Lonchura striata: one gene and its partners. The protein of the gene in region 1 interacts with the protein of each later gene in a biochemical or structural test. Links are inferred from orthologs where the notes say so. Each region holds a gene or a part of one and is shown in the gene's direction. Other genes may lie near its edges.

The links.
Region 2: the proteins of SH3GL2 (region 1) and DNM1 form a complex in vitro, tested with the Homo sapiens proteins (2 studies listed by BioGRID and IntAct, with this or other methods). The link is inferred for Lonchura striata from reciprocal best matches to the Homo sapiens genes SH3GL2 and DNM1.
Region 3: the proteins of SH3GL2 (region 1) and SYNJ1 form a complex in vitro, tested with the Homo sapiens proteins (2 studies listed by BioGRID and IntAct, with this or other methods). The link is inferred for Lonchura striata from reciprocal best matches to the Homo sapiens genes SH3GL2 and SYNJ1.

The regions. Positions count from the first base shown.
Region 1 is NC_134642.1:22,234,133-22,242,142, forward strand, and holds the start of SH3GL2 (endophilin-A1), read left to right. Parts: upstream 1-4,992; 5' UTR 4,993-5,133; coding exon 5,134-5,178; intron 5,179-5,273; exon of another isoform or gene 5,274-5,296; intron 5,297-8,010. UniProt on the Homo sapiens protein: Implicated in synaptic vesicle endocytosis. May recruit other proteins to membranes with high curvature. Required for BDNF-dependent dendrite outgrowth.
Region 2 is NC_134624.1:507,551-514,546, forward strand, and holds the start of DNM1 (dynamin-1), read left to right. Parts: upstream 1-3,989; 5' UTR 3,990-4,152; coding exon 4,153-4,313; intron 4,314-6,996. UniProt on the Homo sapiens protein: Catalyzes the hydrolysis of GTP and utilizes this energy to mediate vesicle scission and participates in many forms of endocytosis, such as clathrin-mediated endocytosis or synaptic vesicle endocytosis as well as rapid endocytosis (RE).
Region 3 is NC_134604.1:19,416,645-19,424,322, forward strand, and holds the start of SYNJ1 (synaptojanin-1), read left to right. Parts: upstream 1-4,671; 5' UTR 4,672-4,763; intron 4,764-6,064; 5' UTR 6,065-6,084; coding exon 6,085-6,208; intron 6,209-7,678. UniProt on the Homo sapiens protein: Phosphatase that acts on various phosphoinositides, including phosphatidylinositol 4-phosphate, phosphatidylinositol (4,5)-bisphosphate and phosphatidylinositol (3,4,5)-trisphosphate. Has a role in clathrin-mediated endocytosis.

The DNA.
Region 1 (8,010 bases):
TTTTGAGCATGGGGACCTGTTGAGCTTTAATGAACTGTGTTTGAGGAAAAATACTGTGAGAGTAATGGTATTGTGTCCAGTCAAGCTTTTTGTACTTTTATAAAGAGGAACTCTTGGACATTGTAGGAAATCTCATATATTGATCATCTATTAAGAAAGAAAAGAGATGTCATGAGTCCATGAGACTGGAGATAGATAATTTGGAAGGGTAACTCTACCAAACCTGGATAATCTATGTCATGCTTGACACACACAAAAATTCAGCCATTCAATCTGTATCTTCAGTGGTTGGAAGAGTAATACTACTTAACTGATAAGAACAATGCTGTTAATTCTTCTTAATTTTATTGGTTTGTGTGAAATGAAATTAAAGGGTTCCTGTAATTCAAAAAAAAGGATAGAGGTTATTGATATTTTTCTACCTTGATTCTTTCCTTTTTAGGTGTTTCCATCTTCCCTTACTTGTAACTTATTGTCTATGTCTTGTGCACCTTTTTATAGTCATAAGCTGACAAAATATTTCCTAATCAGTGAATGAATTAATTTTTTAAAAGATAATTAAATAACAATTTTTTTGCTTGCTTCCTTTATGCCTCACACTTAAATGACCATCTTTCAATCTTTTTTAAAGTCAGCACTATTTTAATGCTCATGCAATTATTCATTGCCTGCTGATTTACACAGCTTAAATTTAGATGTCTTTGCCACCTGACCTGTAGTAGTGTAGCCCAGATTAGATTTCAACTGAGTGGTCTGATTTTTAATTTCTGGCTTAATTTCTGTTAGAAACACAGTTCCTGATCAGTTGTGGGTGAATGACCACACCTTCTGTGGAGCCTTTCCTATTCATAAGGATGTTTATGTTTTTCTGTCTTACTCAATTATTGTGAAAATATCAACAAATATTTCATGTAAAAATATTGACATAGCACCATAAGAACTTAATAAATACCCAAATTCTTCCCCAGCAAAATATGAATGAATTCTCTAAGAAATATTTAGGGGGTTTTTCTTTTTGGTGTTACTTATCAAGAAAAAAAATTGTATTCATAATCCTGTCTGGTTTCTTCTTTTTTTTGTTTGTTTGTTTGCTTCTTTTTGTTGCATTATATTTACTTTTGGTTTTCAACGTGATTTTATTACCTGAGTGCTAAACAGAGTGATTTGCTTCCACTGCAACTTCTGCAAGGACTTATCATCTATGCCACCTTCTCCTGCAATTAGATTTTTGGTTTTACAAACACTTTTTGCTAATGTTTAATTGTACTTTTAGCATTTTATTTTATTTTGGTTGACAACTTATCAAGTGGATTTTATTCTGCTTTACATGACTGTGTGCTGTTGAAGTATTACCTACCAGCTTTTTTAAGAGAAAAAATCTAAAAAGCTGTATAAATTGAAGTATGAATCAAATTCTTGAAGACATATTGAAGTGAATATTTCCACTTATTTCACTAAATGACTGTCAATGAGAATGCAGTTCTAAGTTTGCAGAGTCAACTGTATGTTATGTAAGAACTATAGTGATTTACAACCTAATGTCATAATAGTCCATGAAAAAAAAGGACTAGGCTTGCACCTACAAAAGTCTTTGTCTTTTCTGCACTTGATTATTCCTTGCAGCTGCAACAATGGGGATATTTTAAGTTACTGTTAGAATTTCTTTTGTCTGTGTGAAATAAAACGAGGTGCTTAGCCTATCATACTTACTCATTTTAAAATGGCATTTGGACTTACTGATATAGATCTCATTATTACATAAAAAAATTTAGAATCAGATGTAGCACATCATAGGCAAATATTTGTTGTTTGCTATAGTTTATTAAAACCAGAAGTCATTTCACTAAAGCTGATTTCAAAGCATTATTTAGATACCTCCAGGAGAGGACATCACAAATGACATGATATACTGAAGAGCAGTCACTAAATTAATTTCTCTTTGTCCAAGAAGTGACACTATTTAATTTACAAAAAGGGGTTTTAAGCCCATTGACACAAGCAGGATACACATGAACTGTGCTTTAATAAAGATTAATAAAGATTTCCACTCCCAGAAACATAGATATTCTAGAAGAAAAAAAAAAGAGAAAGAGAAAGAGAAGGAGAAGGAGAAGGAGAAGGAGAAGGAGAAGGAGAAAGAGAAAGAGAAAGAGAAAGAGAAAGAGAAAGAGAAAGAGAAAGAGAAAGAGAAAGAGAAAGAGAAAGAGAAAGAGAAAGAGAAAGGAAAAGAAAAGGAAAAGAAAAGGAAAAGGAAAAGGAAAAGGAAAAAGAAAAGGAAAAGGAAAAGGAAAAGGAAAAAGAGAAAGAAAGGAAAAGGAAAAGGAAAAGGAAAAAAAAAAAGAAAAAGAAAAAGAAAAAGAAAAAGAAAAAGAAAAAGAAAAAGAAAAAGAAAAAGAAAAAGAAAAAGAAAAAGAAAAAGAAAAAGAAAAAGAAAAAGAAAAAGAAAAAGAAAAAGAAAAAGAAAAAGAAAAAGAAAAAGAAAAAGAAAAAGAAAAAGAAAAAAAAATGTATGAGCAGAAGTGAAAGTGCCAGATTAAGTTGTGAGAATATACAGACAATAATATAGGTGAGTCAGGGAATTCAACTACGATTTGGGCTGATTTATAGCCAGGTATCATTTCAATCAACAGGCAGTGGGAACATCAGAGTTTCTAATACTCTTGAAAATGAGAGATACGTTGTATCTCCAGCTCATCACCCTGACACTGAATTTGGCAGACATTTATATATTGATTTATTTGTTATTTATTTATAAAATTTTCACATAAATTTGTAGTGGAGAGGAATGTACTCTTGAAATAGCCAACAAAAGTTAGATTCTGAAATGTTACCACTGAAAGCCAGTTATTTAGTAACATACTTAATTTTATAAAAATTATTCAAAATTATGGCTTTTATCATAGGTTTACTGTTGTATTGTGTTTTTAAGTGTCATGTTTTTGTATCAGTTCTCTAATGGTTCATCCCTTTAGACCCCCCCCCCATTGGTTTTACTGCGAACTACCCCTTTCCTTGTATGCCAATCCCCTCCTCCTTCCCTGATGTCAATCCCCCTCCCGTTTGCTGGATAATTCCCCTATCCTCTCCCTGGTGCCTTGTCCATCACTCAACTCCCCATCCCACTCATTCAGAACCTTCCACAGAGAGCATTGAGTGATTGGACAGGGGCCAGGGGTCCGTCCTTCCCACCTTCCCCGTTGAATTCCTCACCTGTCTCTCTCCCCACCTTCCACTCCCCCGAACATTCCCATAGGTGGCTGATCTCCTTCCCTGTTTCCATCCTCATTTATGTTGTGCCACACAGCCTAATCCGGGGCTTCAGTTGCTTGGTTCCCCTGCATTATGAATCTCCACGGAGATGTCCTCAATAAACCTGGACTTAACCCCTGATTGGGGTCGACTCCTTGCTTCCACCATCGTTGCAACTGTCTCACCCCACCAGGACAAAAGCCTTAGCTGCCCTCCCGACCTCCTGAAGCACGGGAGAGCATGGGACGGTCCCCCACTGGACACAAGGATTGGCACAGTGATAGTTGACTTTTTAGTTCTCACTGTGTTTCCAGACTGAAATTCCTTTTCCCAAGTACTAGGTACAATGGAAGTTTTCTATTAAAAGTACAATGGCTGGCACAGGAGACACCCACTCTCTCCCTAGTATCTTCATATGATCATATTTTTCATCCTTTAAAACAATATTACTACTAGAGTGGATGGAAGTGTTTCTGTGCAGACCTGGAACTAGCCCAGAAAGCAGTGCCTCCTACTTATGCTCAGGATGAGGTTATTGCCATCTCACACTCTCCAGGGAGAAGAGAGGTATTCTTATTTTGTCATTCTTGATGATGAACAACTTTGATAGCGCTTCCAAAAGTGCCCACAGGAATTCCATTTAAGATTCTTTTCTTCTCTGCAAGTAACTTCCAAGAACTGCACTGTATCAGTGATCTGGAGGCCTGGCTCTGCCTCTGGATGCCCAGAGGTGTGGCATCAACCCTTTCCCCCATATCTGGTGAGGTTGATGGTATGTGTGCCTGAAGCCTGCAGCAGTACAGTTTGATTATGTGCAAAAAGTCTGCGTGAAGCACCATGGCAAGCCCTCACAGAGTTTATAAACAGCTTTAGAGGCTTCTGAAAATGCTGTCTAACTAGCTCATGTGATGAGTGTTTGTTGTGATGGAATTAAACGCCAATGTAGCATGGCTGCCTTCAAACAGCTGAGGAGCTGTGAGTGTGCATCTCCGTTGTGCCAATTTGCAGCACACATATGCAGTGACTGGTTCAGCCTGCAGAGAAGGATCATTGTGTTTGGATCACATTGCTCATGTTGTTTAGTCTTTTGCTGGCAGAGCCTAATAATTGCTAATTACTGTTCAGCTAGTATTTGTAACACTAAACTGCTAAAGTACATGACTTTTAGATGGGTTCTAGGCTTTTACTCTCCAGCAAACAGCCACACCAGAAGGCTGGAACAGGCGAAATTTAGAAGTGCTTTTCTATGCATCACTGACAATCTGACGGATGAAGAAAACAGCACTTGTTGAGAGAATCCCAATTAGCCGGGGTTTGACTACCAGCTGTGCTTCAGTGAGGCACGATCAGGCCCAAATAAGCTGGCGTTGCTAGAAAGGTTTTTTTCAGAAAACTGGCCAACACTGACATTCCCTCTCCTACTGCTTTCCTCTCTTGCCCCCATTACTGCTCCGCCAATTTCTTTTCGGGTTCATTTCCCCGGATGATGTCCCGCGGGGACGAGTATCCCGATCCCTGCTGGGAAGGCTGCTTAGGCAAGACCGAGGTCCGCGGAGGGCGGGGAGGACGGAGAACACCCGTGCCCGTGCCCGGGACCGACGAGGCGGGGGCGGGTGCCCATCCCGGGGGTGTCCGCGCCGGACAGCGCTCGGTCCGCGCAGCCCCGCGGCGCCGCTGCCGGCGCACCTGCGGGGCGGGGGCGGCCGGAGGCGGCGCGGCCCGCCCTGACGTCACGGCGCTCCCGCTCCGCCGCCGCGCCTGACAGCCTCCGCCGGGCGCGGTGCGGTGCGGGCAGGCAGAGCGCTCGGCTCGGCTCGGCTCGGCTCGGCTCGGCTCGGCTCGGCTCGGCTCGGCTCGGCTCGGCTGCTGCGCGCTGCCCTCGCCATGTCGGTGGCCGGGCTGAAGAAGCAGTTCCACAAAGCCACGCAGGTACCGAGCCCTTTGCTCGCGCGTGGAGCGCGCTCGGCTGCGGCCAGCGGACGCGTGGGCATGCACGGCTGTGCGCCGTGCGGGATCGTGCGCGGGGCTCCGCTCGAGTGCGTGCGGGGTGAGTGGGTTTGCGCGGATGCTGTGCCCGGTCGTGCGTGATGAGTGAGCGTGCGAGGGGCCGTGTGTCTGGCCGGGTGTGCGCGGTGCGCGCAGGGATGTGCACGGAGGGTGCAGGGTCTGCAGGGGTGTCCATCTGCGGAGGGCCGGGGCTCGCCGGGCGGCCGCGCCTCCCCCCACTCGCTCCGGCCGCGTTGCGGCAGCGGGCAGGGGCTGCCGGGGTGCGGGAGTAGCTCCTGGGCTGCCCCGACCTCCGCGCTTGGAGCCCGCGGGGGCAGCTGCTGCAGCAAACACCGGCCGTGGGCTCAGACCTTCCCTGCCCAGGTCTCTGCACCGTATTTCCATAGGCGTTGTTTGTTTTAGCCTGACTTTGGGAAAACAGCAATAAACATGACCTTTTTGTTTCGTGGGTCTAGACCACAGCTGAAATCCGAGTAATGAGGTTTGGTTCTGTTGCTTTAGGCATGGTGTGATATTGCAGGAAGGTCAGTCAGGGTGAGTGTTTCACCAGTAGTTGAGTTGTTTCATAATACAAAATTTGTGTGTTACAGTCTGCAAGTCAATTTCTGACTTAGTGTACTTTGGGGACAAATCTAAAAATCTAATAAAAAATGGTCTCATAAAAGTCAGAGGAATTGATTTAGATCCAGAGAGCTGACACCAAAACCCATGCAGTGTGGGCGGGGTTTTTTTGGTTGGTTGTGTGTTTGTTGTTTTGTTTATTTGGGTTGTTTTGTTTGTAACTAAATACAAAATCTCCAGTTATTTCCTATTGCTTGCCATTGCAGGCATCTTCAGCTAGGAATCTTGGTCACTGCAAGCAATCTGTAGGTCCAGGCATACAAGATGTATTAACCTGTTAGACTTTTCAACACCTGTGTATTTCCCCTTCTCATGCATCTCATCTCTTGAGCACTATGGGGAAATATTCTGTAAAAATTATCCTTCATCCAAATATTTGTCCAAATTCTGATTTTCGACACTTTGTAGTTACACCGGTACACACTATAACTCTGAATGCAATGGTTTTATACCAAGTCCTGCATGGGTGTATGAAGGCATTGAATAACACCATGTCTCACCTTTCATGCCACATTGTGCTGCATCATTGGTAAAATAATCCTTGCAAGAAAACGGCTGCACTCAAAACAGATGCCATAAGGAGCAGGTAAGGGTGCCTGAGCCCATCCAGCAGTGCCCATCTGCTGCTGCTTACTTTGTTGTTTCTTCCCCTGCTGCCTATGGTGCTATGAGCAGCCTAGGAATCATCATTATGGCAATGAGTTCTGGTACTGAAAAGAAGAATTTCAGTGTCTGTGGTGTCCATGTTTAAGAAGCAGGCAAGCTGAAATTCACTTTTTAGTACTAGAAATCTCAGTTCTCCATTATTGTAAGCTAATGAGAATGCATCTGCAGCAGCAGAGGTAAACTTCTTTTTTGGAGGGAGAATGGTGTGAAAGGTCTGTGCATGCTGTTTTGTCCTTCAGATGACACTTTCACACTGATTGTCAGCAGTACTGTCATTCAGAAGGAAGGAAGAGTTTTAGTTGTCTGGAACCAAAATATTTAAGTCTCTGTTACCAGATTTAGCTGTCTGACATCTGATGACCCAGGGATTTTTGGCCCCAGCCTTGACTTTCACAGTTTGTTTTCATGCAAGCCATGAAGACACATTCATATATGAGAATGACTCACAAGTATGTTGAAGAGTGATCTGCTTATTGGCTTGTTTGCATTATGAGTGAGAAATCTGTGACATAGTTGTGCTGACCTTGCTCCAGGGAGTAATCCTTTTGGCTAGCAGTTAAACACCAGGTGAAATACAGATTGACATTGCTGGTATGAATTAAGCTTCCAGATAGGACCAGAGAAATAGGAAGTTTTAAGAAATCTAAATTACTGATTTGATTCTTATTCATGTTTATTTATATGATGTGCTATTTTAATAGTGTCCTAAGTCATAGAAAGGGTATATCTGTTTTATACAATGTAACCATTTTATTTAATTTCATTTATTGTTTTCTGACATGTGAAATGTCAAACTAACCTGCATCAAGTACTGCCAGTTTGGCAGCCGTGCTGAAGAACTTAATGCTTGTCAACTTTCATGGACCAACTGCCAACAGCAGTGAGACATTGAAGAGCAGGATACTTTGCACCTTCTGGAATGAGTCGAGTGTTCACCCTTTCAGAAAAACTAATGGATTTACCTGTGTGCAGCATATAAATAAAGTTTAGAGAAGACTTCATGAGTTTATAAAAGCAGTGTGAGTCTGGAAGTCCTGATATGAATACAGAATTGCATTCATACACATTAGACTGACCACTGTGGAACAGGTTAGGTTGTTAACTTACTTCTAATATCCACAGAGCAGGAGAAATAGCCCCATTTGAATGTTAACATGCTGCTGCAGATCTGTCATACATCCTGAAGCTAGGAAGATCTAAAGTGTGTTTTTCCAGAAATGGGCAACAAAGTGCTGTGCCACCTAATGGTCTCTTTTCCTTAGGCTTGCAGACTCCTTTGCCAGTAGTGTTATGCCAGTTTGACTGATAGAATATTGCTTCCTCCAGGTTTACGTACAGTTATAAAACTACCACAATCACTTTGGGTGATGGAGTTGACAGTCTGGGGCATTTAAACAGACTTGTTTTAAAATAGCTTGAGCTTTGTTTCCACATGACTGCATTCATTGCATAATATGGCTCTTGTGA
Region 2 (6,996 bases), on another chromosome or scaffold:
TATATACCAGGAGCTATTTTATGACATCTACAGGATGCAGAAAGCACAGAGAACTCATCTTTGTTGCTCTTAAAATATTAATTTAAAATCACATCCATGCACAGATCCCATTCTTAATGGAGTATAACATTCAGCTTCTTTCTTTCCTTATGTATACTCTGGCTTCTGGCAAGTTACACTCACAATAATACTGTCCTAGTGTCTTATACACCAGATTTACCTTCTTTTACCTCTTTTTGGGGGATTTTCACACCAATTCAGTTTAAGCACAGAAGATGCAGAAGCATCTCACTATGTTATTCTACAAAGAAAAGCATTCTATTTGAAAACTCAAAAATTAAAGACTGCTTTTCTTTCAAATAGCTTTTGCAATTAATAGGAGCATTAGAAATCAACTTTTTTTCTCTGAGTAACTGATACCACAAGAGATTGATGATGTTACTGTGGTACCATTGCTACTATAGTAGCACTTTAGTACCTAGAAAATAGATACTTAAGCGTTTTCTATCTCTATATGCAGCTTTAGATAGTTATGGAAATGTAAGAGGCTAATTTTAGTTAATATTTTTAACTATTGATCAGCTGTATCATGTAGTATTAGTATGGACAATGACAATCCTAGACCAGTTTCTTTTTGGAACTTTTAACCATTCAATTAAAATTTTTACCTGTGTTTATAACCATTTTTAGGAACCCCAAAGGCCAGAATTATCCACTTCAAGACCCACAGTGAAATGTTCTAAACATTCACACTACCTGGAGTCAGCAGAAACAGTTTGCAAGGAACTTAGAAACTCACAAGCTAATTGCTTTCCACATTTTTGCCTCTTTTTTCCTCTGAGGACTAGATATGTTATTTTTGCAAGGGCAAGGAATGAAGGACAGAATCCAGCTCTCAAATGTCTATTTCTAATTATGCTAACTAAACTGGGAGTCCTATTTGCATGAGGTGACAAAATCAGCATACACAACTGTGGTTATGTTGATAGCCATACATAGAAACACACATATGCTTGGCCACATGCATTTTTAGGGATTCATGTTAAAGTACATTCAGAAATATTTATAGCACAGGGCGGGGGGAATCTTTCATTCCTCTTGTTTTTCTTTGCTCACATCTTCAGTTTTTCTACTAAGATAAAAAAATAGATTTTTCCTATTCATTCCAGTTATTGAAATTCCTTTTGTTTTTCCTGCTCTGTCTGCTAAATGCTGCTGAGTAAGTCACAGGTAGGAGGTATTACAGAATCAAAAGGTATGTTTGCTGAGACATCCCTGCAACTCAGTTTGTGGCAGGGGAGAAAATGGAAGGCTCTAGGAGCGATTCCGAGTGCCTGCAGTTCGCTTTTTCATCAGAGGGAGGAGTAGGTTCGTAAAGCTTCAGAAAATCCAAGCCTCGCTGTCTGGGATGCTCGGGGTCAGTCTCTCTGGGCTGGGCGGCTGCAGTCGCTGCAGAAGCGTCCAGACTTCACACTGTAAATGAGTGGTTTAGGGTGATGCTGCAGGCAGACACACTGGAGCTCATCTGCTTACAAAAAGCTCTGCAGGACAAAGAAGCTGGAGCAGATTCTGTGCATCTCTCAGTTTTACACTAATACTGATCCATGCAAAATTCGCCAATATTTCTGCATGTTTTTCCAATTCCATAATTTCTTTTATTGCTTTCTTGTGTGCCTGGAGAGCACCCTATTAGCTCCTCTCATCCCTCCTGTCCAGTTTTGCCCTTTAAGATTTCAATAATGCCAAAACCCCTCATATATCCCCCAAAGGACCACATTTCCTAAGAACTAAGTATTAGTTTAATGGAAAAATAAAACTAGATAGTGTAGGAAAAATCACCTGCAAAGAAGTCATGCATGAGCCTTTATACTGTATGAGCTCCTTAACTGGCAATATAAATCTTATTTTTCCCCTCAGTCTTCAACATCAGCTGTTGATATATTATATTTTCAATAGTCTGTCACAAACATTTCTCAAAGAAAATGGATTAGTTTCATTTTAGCTTTTCCAAAAGAAATATCACCTGAATGATTAGTTCTAGAGCTGACTCAACCAGAACAAAATATCTACCCAGTGTACATGGGGATGAAGCTAAGGAGTCAACCTATGTGTGAAAGCCAGACCCAAAGACTCCATAGACTGCAACCAGAGACAAACACGTCTCCATAAGTCAGCAGGACTGATGGCCCACCCAGGTCCACAGATGTGGGGGGAAGCCCCAGGTGAGGCTGGCCATGGCCACTGAGAGTTTTTAGTACAGCTGGTAAATTGTGTGAGGTGACTGAAGTGATGCAACTGGGCAGTCTTTGTATTGCAGTTGGTGAACTTCACGGTACAGCGAGCCCTGGGAAAAGGTCAGTTTTCTGCTTTTGGTTCCTCAAATAAAGCTTCAAAGATCCTCATGGTCTAAAGTTCCCTGAGCTTCAGCTCTGATCCAGGGAGGAAGGTGACATCATTATTTGAGCCTTTGATACTCTTCACTGTTCTTTTTGTGGTGACCTCTTACAAGGAGCAGCTATCTATAGCAGTTTTTTTCCAGAATCCTTCAACATAAATTATCTGAATGGCTGCAGGGATGCTCAAAGGCTTTTGTCCACAGTCTATATTGAATTCCTTAAGCTTATTTCTTGAGATTTACTGGGTAATTTGCTGAGAGGAAAAAATAGCATTGACAGCCCCCAAAACTGCCCACGTATGCCCTACAATGGTGTTACCCGTACAGATGGAGCAGCTCCCTTCCCTTCCTTCAGTGTTCTTACCTGCACATTGGTGATGTGCTAGAGCATGGGGCAAATTCATCCCTCACCATGGTTGCCTCAGTTTCTCTGTATGTCCACATAGGTATTTTTGCATGGATTAAATTTGATGGACACCTGTGAAATAGTCATTATAATTATTATAACTAAAAAGCTGCTGTACAAAACAAAACAGACAGCTCAAAATCTGTTGCAGTTTTTTGTACTTCATTTCCCCCTCCACCCCCATCCCTCTCTGAGCTGTGAATAGGAGTCTTGGGTAGCACGAACTGAGGGGTGTTTGAAATGCGACACTCTCCATCCTTCTGAGTCATTGCTAGCCATCAGATGCTTTTTTGAACACTTGTTTTCATTGCTGTACTTTGAAATCAAATATGGCCTCATGTTATATTCTTATTAAAAATCTATCCCTTTTAAAAACCATAAAACCAAGCTGTTCCCTCTTTATTGCAGACAAGTAATTTTAAAAACAAAATCTGGGTGCATAAAATGAAGCACCTGTTTGTGTTTCTCTAAAACAAGCCTGGCAACACATCCACTGTTTTACAGCTATAAACAGAAATTGATACATTTTACATCTGTGTTTGAATGAAGCATCAGAATCATAGAATGGGTTGGAAGAGACCTTAAAAAAAAAATTCTTATTTTAACCTCTGCCATCTTATTCTAGCCAGATGCTCAGAGAGTGGTAGCATTTTTGCAAAGCTCCAGTTTAATAATCTCAAGTGTTTCTTGCATTTTGGTGATTTCACAAGTGCTGTCTCCACACAAAGCCCTCCCATACAGGTGCTGTGACCAAGCCATGGCGCACTGAGTAAACGTTGCGGCTGTGAGGATCACAAAGTGCAGGTGTAGGAGCCGAGCCAAGTGGGTTCTTCCAGCACATCTTCCCTGCCCGCTGCAGCGCTGCACGGCTGGCGGCAGTGACCGCCACAGGGCTTCGGCACCGTGCGGGGCTCACCCACAGGTACACCGGGACTGACTGCGGGGCCAGCACACCCACACCGGCTGGGCCACGCCGGTGTGCCAACCTGCCGCACACAGAGGCAGCCCCGGGTAACCTGCACTGCTCTGGTTCTGGGAGCGAGCCCCGTTCCCAGGTCTCTGGGCACAGACACCAGGGCCGCGCCGCCCCGATCCCGGCCCCCTCGGCCCCTCACGGCCGCCGGACTACATCTCCCGGGATGCAGCGCGGCGCCGGTACCTTTAACGCCCCCTGGCGGCAGCACGGGGCGCTCCACAGGCGCGGCGGGCGGGCTGAGGCGAGCGGAGCCCGGGCGGCGTCGAGCGGGGCGAGGGGCGCGGGCTGGAGCCGCTGCCCACCGGCCCCACAGCCGGGGAGGGCTGCGGGAAGGGTTAGTGCGAGCTCGCCTGTGCCAAGAGCCGCGCCGCAACCATGGGGAACCGCGGGATGGAGGATCTCATCCCGCTGGTCAACCGGCTGCAGGACGCCTTCGCCGCCATCGGGCAGAACGCCAACCTCGACCTGCCGCAGATCGCCGTGGTGGGGGGGCAGAGCGCCGGCAAGAGCTCCGTGCTGGAGAATTTCGTCGGGAGGTGAGCGGGGGTGTCCCCGGGGGCGCGGGCAGAGCTGCCGCATGGCCAGCGCGGTGCGGGGGCAGCGCGGTGCGGGAGCAGCGCGGGCAGAGCCGCCGCACGGGCAGCGCGGTGCGGGGACAGCGCGGGCAGAGCCGCCGCACGGGCAGCGGCTCCGCACGGGCAGCGGCTCCGCACGGGCAGCGCGGTGCGGGAGCAGCGCGGGCAGCGGCTCCGCGCGGGCAGCGGCTCCGCACGGGCAGCGCGGTGCGGGCGCTCTGGCCGCGGTGCGGGGACCGCGCGGAGCGGGGACTGCGCTCCGCTCGCGGCTACTCCGCTCGGCGCGTGTGTGGTGCGCGGGCAGCGCTGCAGGACGCCCGGGCGCTGCGGTGCAGGGGTACGGGGAGGCGCGGGAGGAAGGCAGGGAGGGAGGGCTCGCTCCCCGCCTGGGGGCATTCCGCAGCGGGGTCCCCGCCACTGCCGCACCTTGGCGGCCGGTGGCAGCCCCCCCTCGTCCTGGTGTTACATAACGGAGGAGGCTGAAGGGGCTGTGGGGGCCGGCCCCATCCGTCCCCTGCTCGGTGCGGGGCTCAGAGATGGATGTTGTCGCTGCGGGGGGAGTGATGCGGAGGGTGTTTAAGTTTAATCTGCTCCGTCCCCCTCCCCCAGCCCAGGCTCGCTGTCCTCCATAGCGGATGCCATGTCAGGAGCTGCGGGGAGGCTATAGGAAGGACGGGGTTATAGCTATCCTATATGCTCAAATCCCCGGGTGCTACCATTTTGTGGCAGGCAATATACTGATGCTTTCCCTTCATGTGACCTTCGCATTCATCATCTGCAACTTGAGTAAATTGCAGACCGCGCTGCTTGGGTATCTCCTCCAGTGCAGACACACAACACCTGGAGGGAGGGGGGGAACGTTCCTCACCTTTTTTCTGGCCTTGTTAATTAATTGTATTAAGTTATATACGGGTTTTAGTTATCAAAGTGGTTTTTTATGCTGTAAGGAGCACGCAGGTTTCTGGGGACTTGCCTTAAGAGCAGTGATTGCTGATACCTGGTCAGATGCTTGCGTGGGCTTTTCTCTTTCAGCAAACTGCATTTGTGACAACATCTACTGGATCTCATTTCCCAACCCCCACTTTTTCTTTTAAGCTGTTTGCTGTTCGATGGCTTATAGGGCTTTTCCACTGTCAGAAGGGTCTGTGGTGTGGATTAACTGCTTGCTTAGCTGCAAGTAGCCAAATTCTGGACCCGTGCAAGGGTATCTTTGAGCAGTGAGTGCTGGGTGTACTAGGAGGAAAGCTCAGGGGTTACATCTGGTACAAAGAAAGCATGGTCAAAATAAAATGTTTTCTTCTCTGCCATAGATCAAAGAGTTTTGAAAAAATAAGAATATAAAATTTGAAGAGTTTGGTATCTCTTCTAGCTAACTTCCAAAGGTCCATGCAGTGTATCCCTGAGAGATGCTGGGATCATGCCAAGGGCCAGACATTGCAGAAACACATTTTACTGAGTCTCAGGTCATAGTCCAGAATCCACTTGTTTGTCCACAGTCACAGAAAAGAAATAAAATTCCTGCCACCCAAGTGAGAAACTTGCTGGGCTGTGGCTTTCGAAGAAGGGGAAAATGGATCTTCTGAAGTCTTTGAGCAAAATGGGTTCACCTGTTGGCCCTGCTGTTTTCATGCTTTCTAAGTACTGGCAGTCAAAGCTCATAAATCCTTTTTAGAGGATCTGTGCAGGCAGTGCTGCAGTGGTGTCGTAGATAATGTCGGGCTGCTGGGCCAGAGGGGGATTTGTTGGAGGAAGGACAGTCAGTGTATTGGGGTAAACTGCTCCTCTCCTTTAGACCAACCACACAAGAGGATTTACTAATCCTTGATGCATCTACACTGGCACTAATTTAGAATGGCATTTTATCTGCTTGGTGGAAAATATATGAATTCAATTATCTTCTGTCTCTTTCTGATGACTCCAGTCACAGGAGAACTTATGACCTCACCGTGTCCCATCAGCTGTCTCTCTAGCAGCAAGTTACAGCGCTGTGGCTTTTCGAAAATGAAATAATTAAAGGTCCCCTGAGCAGGAGCTGAGAGCTGTCGGTAGAAAAGCATTTAGAGGAAATAATTGGAGGGGAAATGGAAAATGTCAGTGTGAAAAGGTCTTTCTCCATTTGATACCCCTGAGTGCTGGCTAGTTTAGACTGGTAACTTGAGACCTCTTACCACATAATGTATGTGTATATGCTGCAAATCCCAATCCTGTTAAAATAGTGTTGGGGCCCTGCTGTAATGTATAGTCTCTTTTCTTTCTCTGTGGGTATTGGTAACCATGATAAGGAGCTATGGAAATAGTATCCAGAATGAGCATGGTTCTTCAGTGTAATTGTGATAGGGGATGTTTTCTTGTCTGAACAGCCATAAGAAGAAACTGTGTGTAGACCTACTGTGTACAAATACAATTATTGCTGTAGTGTGGACATGACATATGTCACTGCTCCTGCTTGATACCAGGATGGTGGTGCAGCTATTGCTCAGCAGCTGCTTGCTGCACAGGGAATGTGAGTACTGATGAGTTTCTCTCTGAGCGGATGGAAATCTGTGCAAGACCAAATGCTGATGTGGTTGGTACTGGCTGATTAGCATGATGCAGACACTTCAGCACAGGGGCTGGAGGCCCTGCCAGGGCTGGTTTCTCTGCT
Region 3 (7,678 bases), on another chromosome or scaffold:
GAAACAAAACCTCCAGGATACTGTAAACGTCTAGAGGATTCAGCCCAGCAGCCCTTCTATCGGTTCATCCGACTTGAAAAAGAACAAAGACCTTGGGAAGGGGAGGGCCACGCTGAACATCAAAGTATTAGAGTAAGGTGTAGTTGGTTAGATTGTCATTGTTACCCTTTTGCCTGTTTTTCCTGCAAAATCTGTAAAGGATTGTGGTGGGCTCACTGCAGAAAGGGGAGAGCTCCAAAAAGTGTATGTCAACGCTGCTGGCTGGAGCAGCGCAAATTGACATCTGAAGTACTAAATTACAAGGTTGCCACTCGGGAATTGACTAAAGGATCCCCTGAGTGGTGGGAGGTTTTCGTAAAGGGAATCAACCCTGAATTCCACTGTTACCATTCCAACGAGCCCCTGGGTCCGTTTCTCACGGATATAGTCCAGGTTAAGTGTCGCAAATTAGTTAAAAAACTCAGGTGCGACACTCCACAGTTGAATACAAAAAATTGGATCTCCCGGAGATCAAAGTGGGAGAGAGGGAACGATCCCACCCCTGAAGAATATCTCTGCTGTCGGGAAGATGGCTTGCCCTGTAACTTGTAGCAACCAAGTTGACAGGCGAGACAGAGAGGTAGATAGTGGGGATGAGGGGCCCTCCCAAACCTTGAAAGAGAACGTAAATCATCATGAGTATGAGAATGGTGACAACGGAATGAGGGAAAATGGGAATGTAAAACTGAGCATGATAAGTAACATCCTCCCCTGCAGTGCGTATCACTCAATCCTATGGGTTTTTATGTTTGTATGGTTTCCCCTTCAGAGTGCTACAGCTAACTCACATGAACCCTTTAAATGGACCTTAAGCAGATGGGAAGATCACGATACCCGTCATATTTTACAAACAATAACGGGACCTGGAGCACCGAGCTTCAAAGTTGGAATCTGTGATTTAACTCGGAATTTAAAATGCGGGCGACTGTTAAACTTAACAAGCTTCTATATGTGCCCCGCTTCAAACCCAGGGAAGCAATACTGTAATTACCCCAAACATTATTACTGTGCCTATTGGGGCTGTGAAACAATAGCATCAGCGTGGGCTCCGGGTGGGGGATTAGATAAATATTTAAAGGTAGGACATGGACCAGTAGGATGTAAACGACCACGAGAGTGGCCTTGGACTGGGAAAAACTTACTTGGGAACTGCACCTTTCTTTACCTAAATATCACTCAACCAAGCGATTCTGGGTGGTTAATAGGCAAAACATGGGGGGTTAGGCATTGGATAGAAGGACATGATCCGGGAAATCTGATTCAAATAAAAAAAGAAGTAGCACCGCACGACCCTAGCCCTATAGGCCCAAATCCAATAATAAGCAATGACTTAAAAGAAAGTAATAAAGCCAGAGATAATGTTATAGACAAAGGTAATCAAGAACCTCAGTTATTAGTGCAGAGGTATACAACTTTATGGAAAATCATGCAAGCTACTTTTGGGGTTCTAAATCATACCCATCCTAACCTAACTAAAGGATGTTGGCTTTGCTATATGATAAATCCACCCTTTTATGAAGCTATTGGGATTACATCCGAAGCAAGGGAAATAAATGGTACAAATCCAAAGGAGTGTCTCTGGAAAAAAGAAGGAGATAATGTTCCAGGCATTACCTTGTCCCAAGTTAGTGGGCAAGGAAGGTGCGTAGGAAAAATTCCTGCAGATATACGACACCTCTGCAACACAACAATAAGCATTAACAGAACAGACAAGCCTTTTGATTGGCTTATGCCAGCAGTCAATACTAAATGGGTATGTCAACAACTTGGAGTTACACCCTGCCTATCGGTAAAAGCCTTTAATAATTCAGACTTCTGCATTCAAGTTCTAATAATCCCCAGAATCGTATACCACCCAAAAGAATACGTGCTAGAACATCAACAAACCCCTGAACACTACTTGGTTAAGAGAGAACCACTTACAGCACTAACGGTAGCAATCTTGCTCAGCATAGGGGGAGCGGGAGTCGGAACAGGGGTCGCTTCCCTAGTAAGTCAAACCCAAGGTATGAAAGCTCTGCGCACATCTGTAGATGAAGATCTAAGTAGAATAGATAAAGCCATAAGTGAACTAGTTAAATCAGTAAAATCCCTTTCTGAGGTAGTCCTCCAAAACCGAAGGGGATTAGATTTGTTGTTCTTACAGCAAGGGGGACTATGTGTTGCTTTACAAGAAGAATGTTGCGCTTATGTAGATCACACAGGTATTGTAAAAGACACGATGGCTGAGTTACGCAAACAAATAGAACAACGAAAAAGAGAAAGAGAATCCCAGCAAAGTTGGTATGAATCCTGGTTTACATATTCTCCCTGGCTGACCACTCTATTATCCACCCTTGCGGGACCAGTAATTTTACTAATTCTAATACTTACTTTTGGACCATGTATCCTTAGCAAACTTATTACCCTAGTGAAAAATAGGTTAGAAGCTGCACATTTAATGATAGTAAAGCCAAAGTATGAGCCACTTAGCGAAGTAGAGACTGAAGAGTATTTAGAGTTAAGCAAGAAAGAGTTAGAACGCTTTAATGAACAAAAAGGAGGTTAAAATAAAAAGGGGGGATATTGTTAGGAAAATAAGGCCTTTTTGTTCATATAGAGTCTCTCATATTCACAGAATAGAGTTTTAATTAGAGCTTGTACTTGTCTGAACATGTTCTCATCTTGTCAGGCATTCCAGTGTCTATCTCATGCATTCCAGTGACTATCTTTCAAGGTTGACTTCGTTACGAAGTTTTTAGGGAGTTAGAACTGTTTTGAAAAGGCTGCTACTAGGCACCCAAACACCTAAGCAACTAGATATGTTTCAAGGATAGTTCCGTTACAGACTTGGCAAAACATGTAAACGTGCCTCGAGATAACATTTCTTATTTTTGAGGGAATTTCCAGGTCGCAGAGACAACCTTAAAGAAGACCACTGGCGCCATCAAGAGGCAGAGAACAACCACCTAACAACAGGGTGCGCCTGCGCAGAAGAGACACTGGAGCGTCACCAGAGCGTCACACACCCGGAAGAGACAACCCAATAAGTGGGGGGGAAACGGGGAGCTAGGCGCGGTAGTTGAACCGACTGCCGCCCAGCGCGCGCTGGTTTGCTTTCGCTTTCCGCTATTAATAAATCCTTTTAATTGGATTTAACAGCCTATTGTGCTCGTTTATAACAGTAAGGGCTGGGGGAGAGGTGAGGACTGGTGTACCTCTCCTCTACCGTATACCCCAATCTGTACCCCATAATTTCGCTGTGGGCTCTCTCTGTTCCTCAGCCTGTAACGTGACACCCTCGAATCCACCTGCTCAGTGCTACCCTGCCAGCCCCAGACGTTATCCCCGCCTCTTTTCTGTTGGTGCTGCGTTCCTCTGAGCGCTATAGCGACAAATGTTTGCTGTCGCTGTTCTGGTCACAAACGTGTCTGGAAGCAGTCATCTCCATCTCGCCGGGAGGGGCGTGACCGGGCGACGTCCGGCACAAAACGCGGGGGTGGGACGATGGAGGGGCGGATCGATGACGCAACGGGGGGCTGGGCAATGGGACGACGACATGACGCAACGGGGGGTGGTGTCGGTGAAAGGGTTGGTGTGTGGCCTGGGACTTAGCGTGAGTGACAGGTGCTGCTGCGCCGGCGGAGGGAGCGGCGGGAGCATAACTCCCAGGAGCCTCAAAAAAAAAAAAAAAAAAAATCATCCTCCTGCCTGACAAAACCTGGCCCCAGCACGGTCTGCAGCCAGACCTCGGTGATGAACATTGCCTGTGAGCGCGGGGGCTGCAGGCAGTACCCACCGGCCGGGCCGCGGGACAGCTGCGACACCGCGGGCTGCAGTTCCGCCCCTGCCTACCCCAGTGTCCGCCGGAGCGCGGCCAGCAGCACAGAACGCGGGGGTCGCTCTCTTCGGCCGCCCTGCTCCTGCCGTGCCAGCGGCAGCTGCGCCAGGAGTGGGGAAAATCCCCTTGGCTCGGGCAGCTGTGGAGTCTGCCTCCGAAACTGCGCACTCTTCGCTAAGACCCTGTTGAGCCACACGGGCGGCTGAAAGTAGTGCGCTTACTCAGCTGGAGAAGAGATTGAGCTGAGAACTCTTTAGGGGTCTGCAGATTAGGGCCAGCTGTAATTCTGCTCTCTGTGAACAGTGATAGGACCCAGGGAACGGCTGGAGCTCTGTTAAGGGAGAGTTAGGCTGAGTGTCAGGAAACGTTATTCCCCCAGAGGGTGCTGGACACTGACCAGGCTCCTCAGGGCAATGGCTCTGAGGCTGCCAGAGCTCCAGGAACGTTTGGAGAGCGATGTCAGGGATGCACGGGGTGGGATTGTTGCAGTGCAGGGACAGGGGTTGGACGCGATGATCTTTGTGGATCCCTTCCAACTCGGGATATTCCACGGCTCTATTCCATGACTGCAGTTAGCAAGACGCCGGCTTCAGAGGACTCCCCCTCGACCCGAGGGCTGTGAGTTTCACAGCCCTTTACCCAGCGAGGTGGTTCAGTGGCGGCTCAATCCGCAGGGCTGCTCCTGAGCCCGTTCCTTGGCTTCTGCTCCTCGTAATAACGCCACAGTGGGACCGGGGCGTGGCTGTGCTCAGTATACGGCTCGGTTCGTTAAAACCGCAGCTCCGTCCCACCTTGGCCCAGTGCCCGCCCTCCGGCACCTCCCCCCGGGGCGGGCGGCGCAGTGCGGAAGGACGCGGGGCCGGGAGGAAGCGGATTCCGCCGGCTCCGCGGCAGCGGGCGCACGGTGAGCGTGGCGGTACCGCGGGGCCGGCCTGGGGCTTGGGGGTCTCGTACGCGCTCGGGCGGCAGGCAGGCTTGCGCAGGGGCGGGTGCTGCCCAGCGCGTCCCTCTGCGCTCTGCGGGAATGCGGCAGCCCGGCCCTGGGAGGCCCACGGCTCGGCCGTGCCCTGAGCCCGCTCGGGCGCGGCGGGACCCGGGAGAGGCCGAAGCAGGCCATGCGTGTCCGCTCCGGAGGTCGGGGAACTGCCGGGAAGGGAGGGCGCAAGGACCCGCTCCGGCGCAATCCTCCTTCGCTGCGTTTTCCCGAACCTTAGCACGGAAAACTGGGCTGCTCTCGCATTTGTTTATGGTTTGCTGCAGTGTGAGGGTTTTATGAGTTTTTTTTTAAGGTCTCACTCGTGTGTGGCTGGCGGGCAGCGTCACCAGTATAACACTGCGATATTTCAGCCGCCGCAGGGCAGGGTTTAAATCCAAATCAAACCGTGCCTTCATTTAAAAAAAAATGGGGGGAGGGAAAGCCAAAAATACGTTGACGTTTTTGTACAGTCCTTTAAAATGCCTTGACCGCTTCAGTGTTTAAAATATACTGTCTTTTTGTACAAGGGCAGAATTAGTGGAATAGATCTAAAAGTTGAAGGCTCCCTCTCTGCTTTTGGCATTGGTTTGCCATTAAGGTGGTTGCTACTCTTCCATATTGCTGGTAGCTGGAAAACCTTTTATTTTTTTATTTCCCTAAGAAGAAATCCTGTTTATTAACTTTTGGGAAAAAAATTGCTTTAAACTAAAATAAAGTAGGACTAAATTTAGGTATGTTCTGTGAGAAAGTGGGAAGGCCCTGGGACAGGGTGCCCAGAGAAGCTGTGGCTGCTCCATCCCTTTAAGTATCCAAGGCCAGGTTGGACAGGGCTTGGGGCAGCCTGGGATAGTGGAACACATCCCTACCCATGGCAAGGGGTGGAACTGGATGAACTTTAAGGTCCTTTCCAACACAAGCCAGGGTTTCTGTAAAACTCTAGTTGTCTCAAAGAAGCTTTTAAATAAATCCAGATTTTGAATGGTGTTTCTCTGGGTAGTTCTGGTTTTGAAACACTCTTATGCCATCTTTAGGTAATCCCTGTAATTTTTTTTTTTTTTTGGACGTAGATAAACTAAGTCTCATGAGGTAGAATGAGGGAGCAGGGGATTTTGTTGTTTGTTTTTGTTGAACATGTTAAATCCCTAGGAAAGGCCGTGGGTCAAACCAACTTTGCAGGAGGTGTCTGGAAGCACAGGGAGGTTTCATTAACATCATCTTGTGTTGGCCAGGGCCGTGTGTTTGAGGCAAAATGGCTTTCAGTAAAGGATACCGTGTCTATCACAAGTTGGATCCACTTCCCTTCAGCGTGATTGTGGAAACCAGGAACAGAGAAGAATGTCTCATGTTTGAGTCTGGAGCTGTGGCTGTCCTCTGTAAGTTGATCTATTTTAATAACTACTGTGTTAGAAGGGTGGCAGACTTGACATTGTGTGAGCCATTTTATTTGTGGAATGTAAAGAAGCAACTGTTCTGTTTTTCTGTTTGGTAATGGAGAGGCTTCTGATTTAAATGAGAAAAGAGGCATTTTCTTATCTTCATCTGTTGAGAGAGAATTTTGCGCATTTCATTACAGTTCTTTATACATCTATATTTTCATGTCTACTAAATTTTCTTATAATTGCCTCCCATATCACCTTGTTTCTTGGGTTCTGAAAAACCCTGTTTTGAACATGTGATAAGTCATTGATGAGCTAATTCTGATGTTGCATTTCACAGCAATAAATGCTATATTCTTAAATGTTATATCATAATTTGGTTTTATTTCATTTTGTGTGATTTTTAGCTTTATTTTGTCCCTGTATCTTTAACCTCCCTCAAGACTTGGTATTGCTTTGTCTTGTAATAAAATGAGTAATACTTGGAGCAAGATGCCTTGCATTGCAAAGTTATTTTTACGTGTTTTAAGTGAAAAGTGCGTGAGATTTCCCCCTCCTAAATTTTCTCCCCCTCCCCTTTTTTTTTTTTTTTTTTTTTTTGCTGGAGAACACTAAAGTGCAGAAGAGAACTATAAGGCCTATACATAGACTTTTAAAATACTTAAAATTATATGTTTGTGTTCTTTAGGAAGCCAAAGCACCTGGTTGCACAGCATTTCTGAGCTCAATTTTGGCTCCTCTATAGAAAGCTTTCATTCCATGGAAGTAGTTTTCTCTTTAGCCAACAGCTGTTACAAGCCAGGCAATGACTGGCATAGTTGCTACAGCTGTATGATTACCCAGGTGAACAGTGGGTGTTTTTCTCCTCTTTTTAAAATTCTGCTTTTTTTTCCTGTAACAGTTTCTTCTTACTATGTACTTAAGTAATCTCCCCAACTTTGGTAGCAGTATCCATAAGGCACTGTAGTGTGGATTGGGAATAAGTGTCCAGTCATAAAGGTAGCAAGCAGGTTTCATGCAAGCTATAAAATGTTTTCAAGATTTGTGGAACAGATTGTTTTAGCCTGTGTTTAGTAATTATTATGCTTGAGCTACTTAAGGTCTAACAGATGAAAATTTTTTTATTCCTGAAGGTTATGTTCAAAAAGGGCAGTAAGTCACTTTTCTTGCCGGGATATACTGCAGGCACCTGGATAAATGTCCTTTCCTAAAAATTAAAACCCATGTCAAAGTTCTTGCCCACTTCCTGGCCTTCTTTTACCAAGCAGAGGAAGCCAGACCTGAAGAAGTTTGGAAGCCTCTCTCCTCTTGCATTCTATTCTTAGTGATAGCTCACTATTAATCTGCAAAGCGCTGTCCTTGGAATTCTGATTGGTAGGTTACGTCATAGCAAATGTTCACACTCAGCTGGAAGTAGTTACTGAGTATTGTTTTCAGTAAGCTTAACCAGGAAACTGGTTTCTCTTT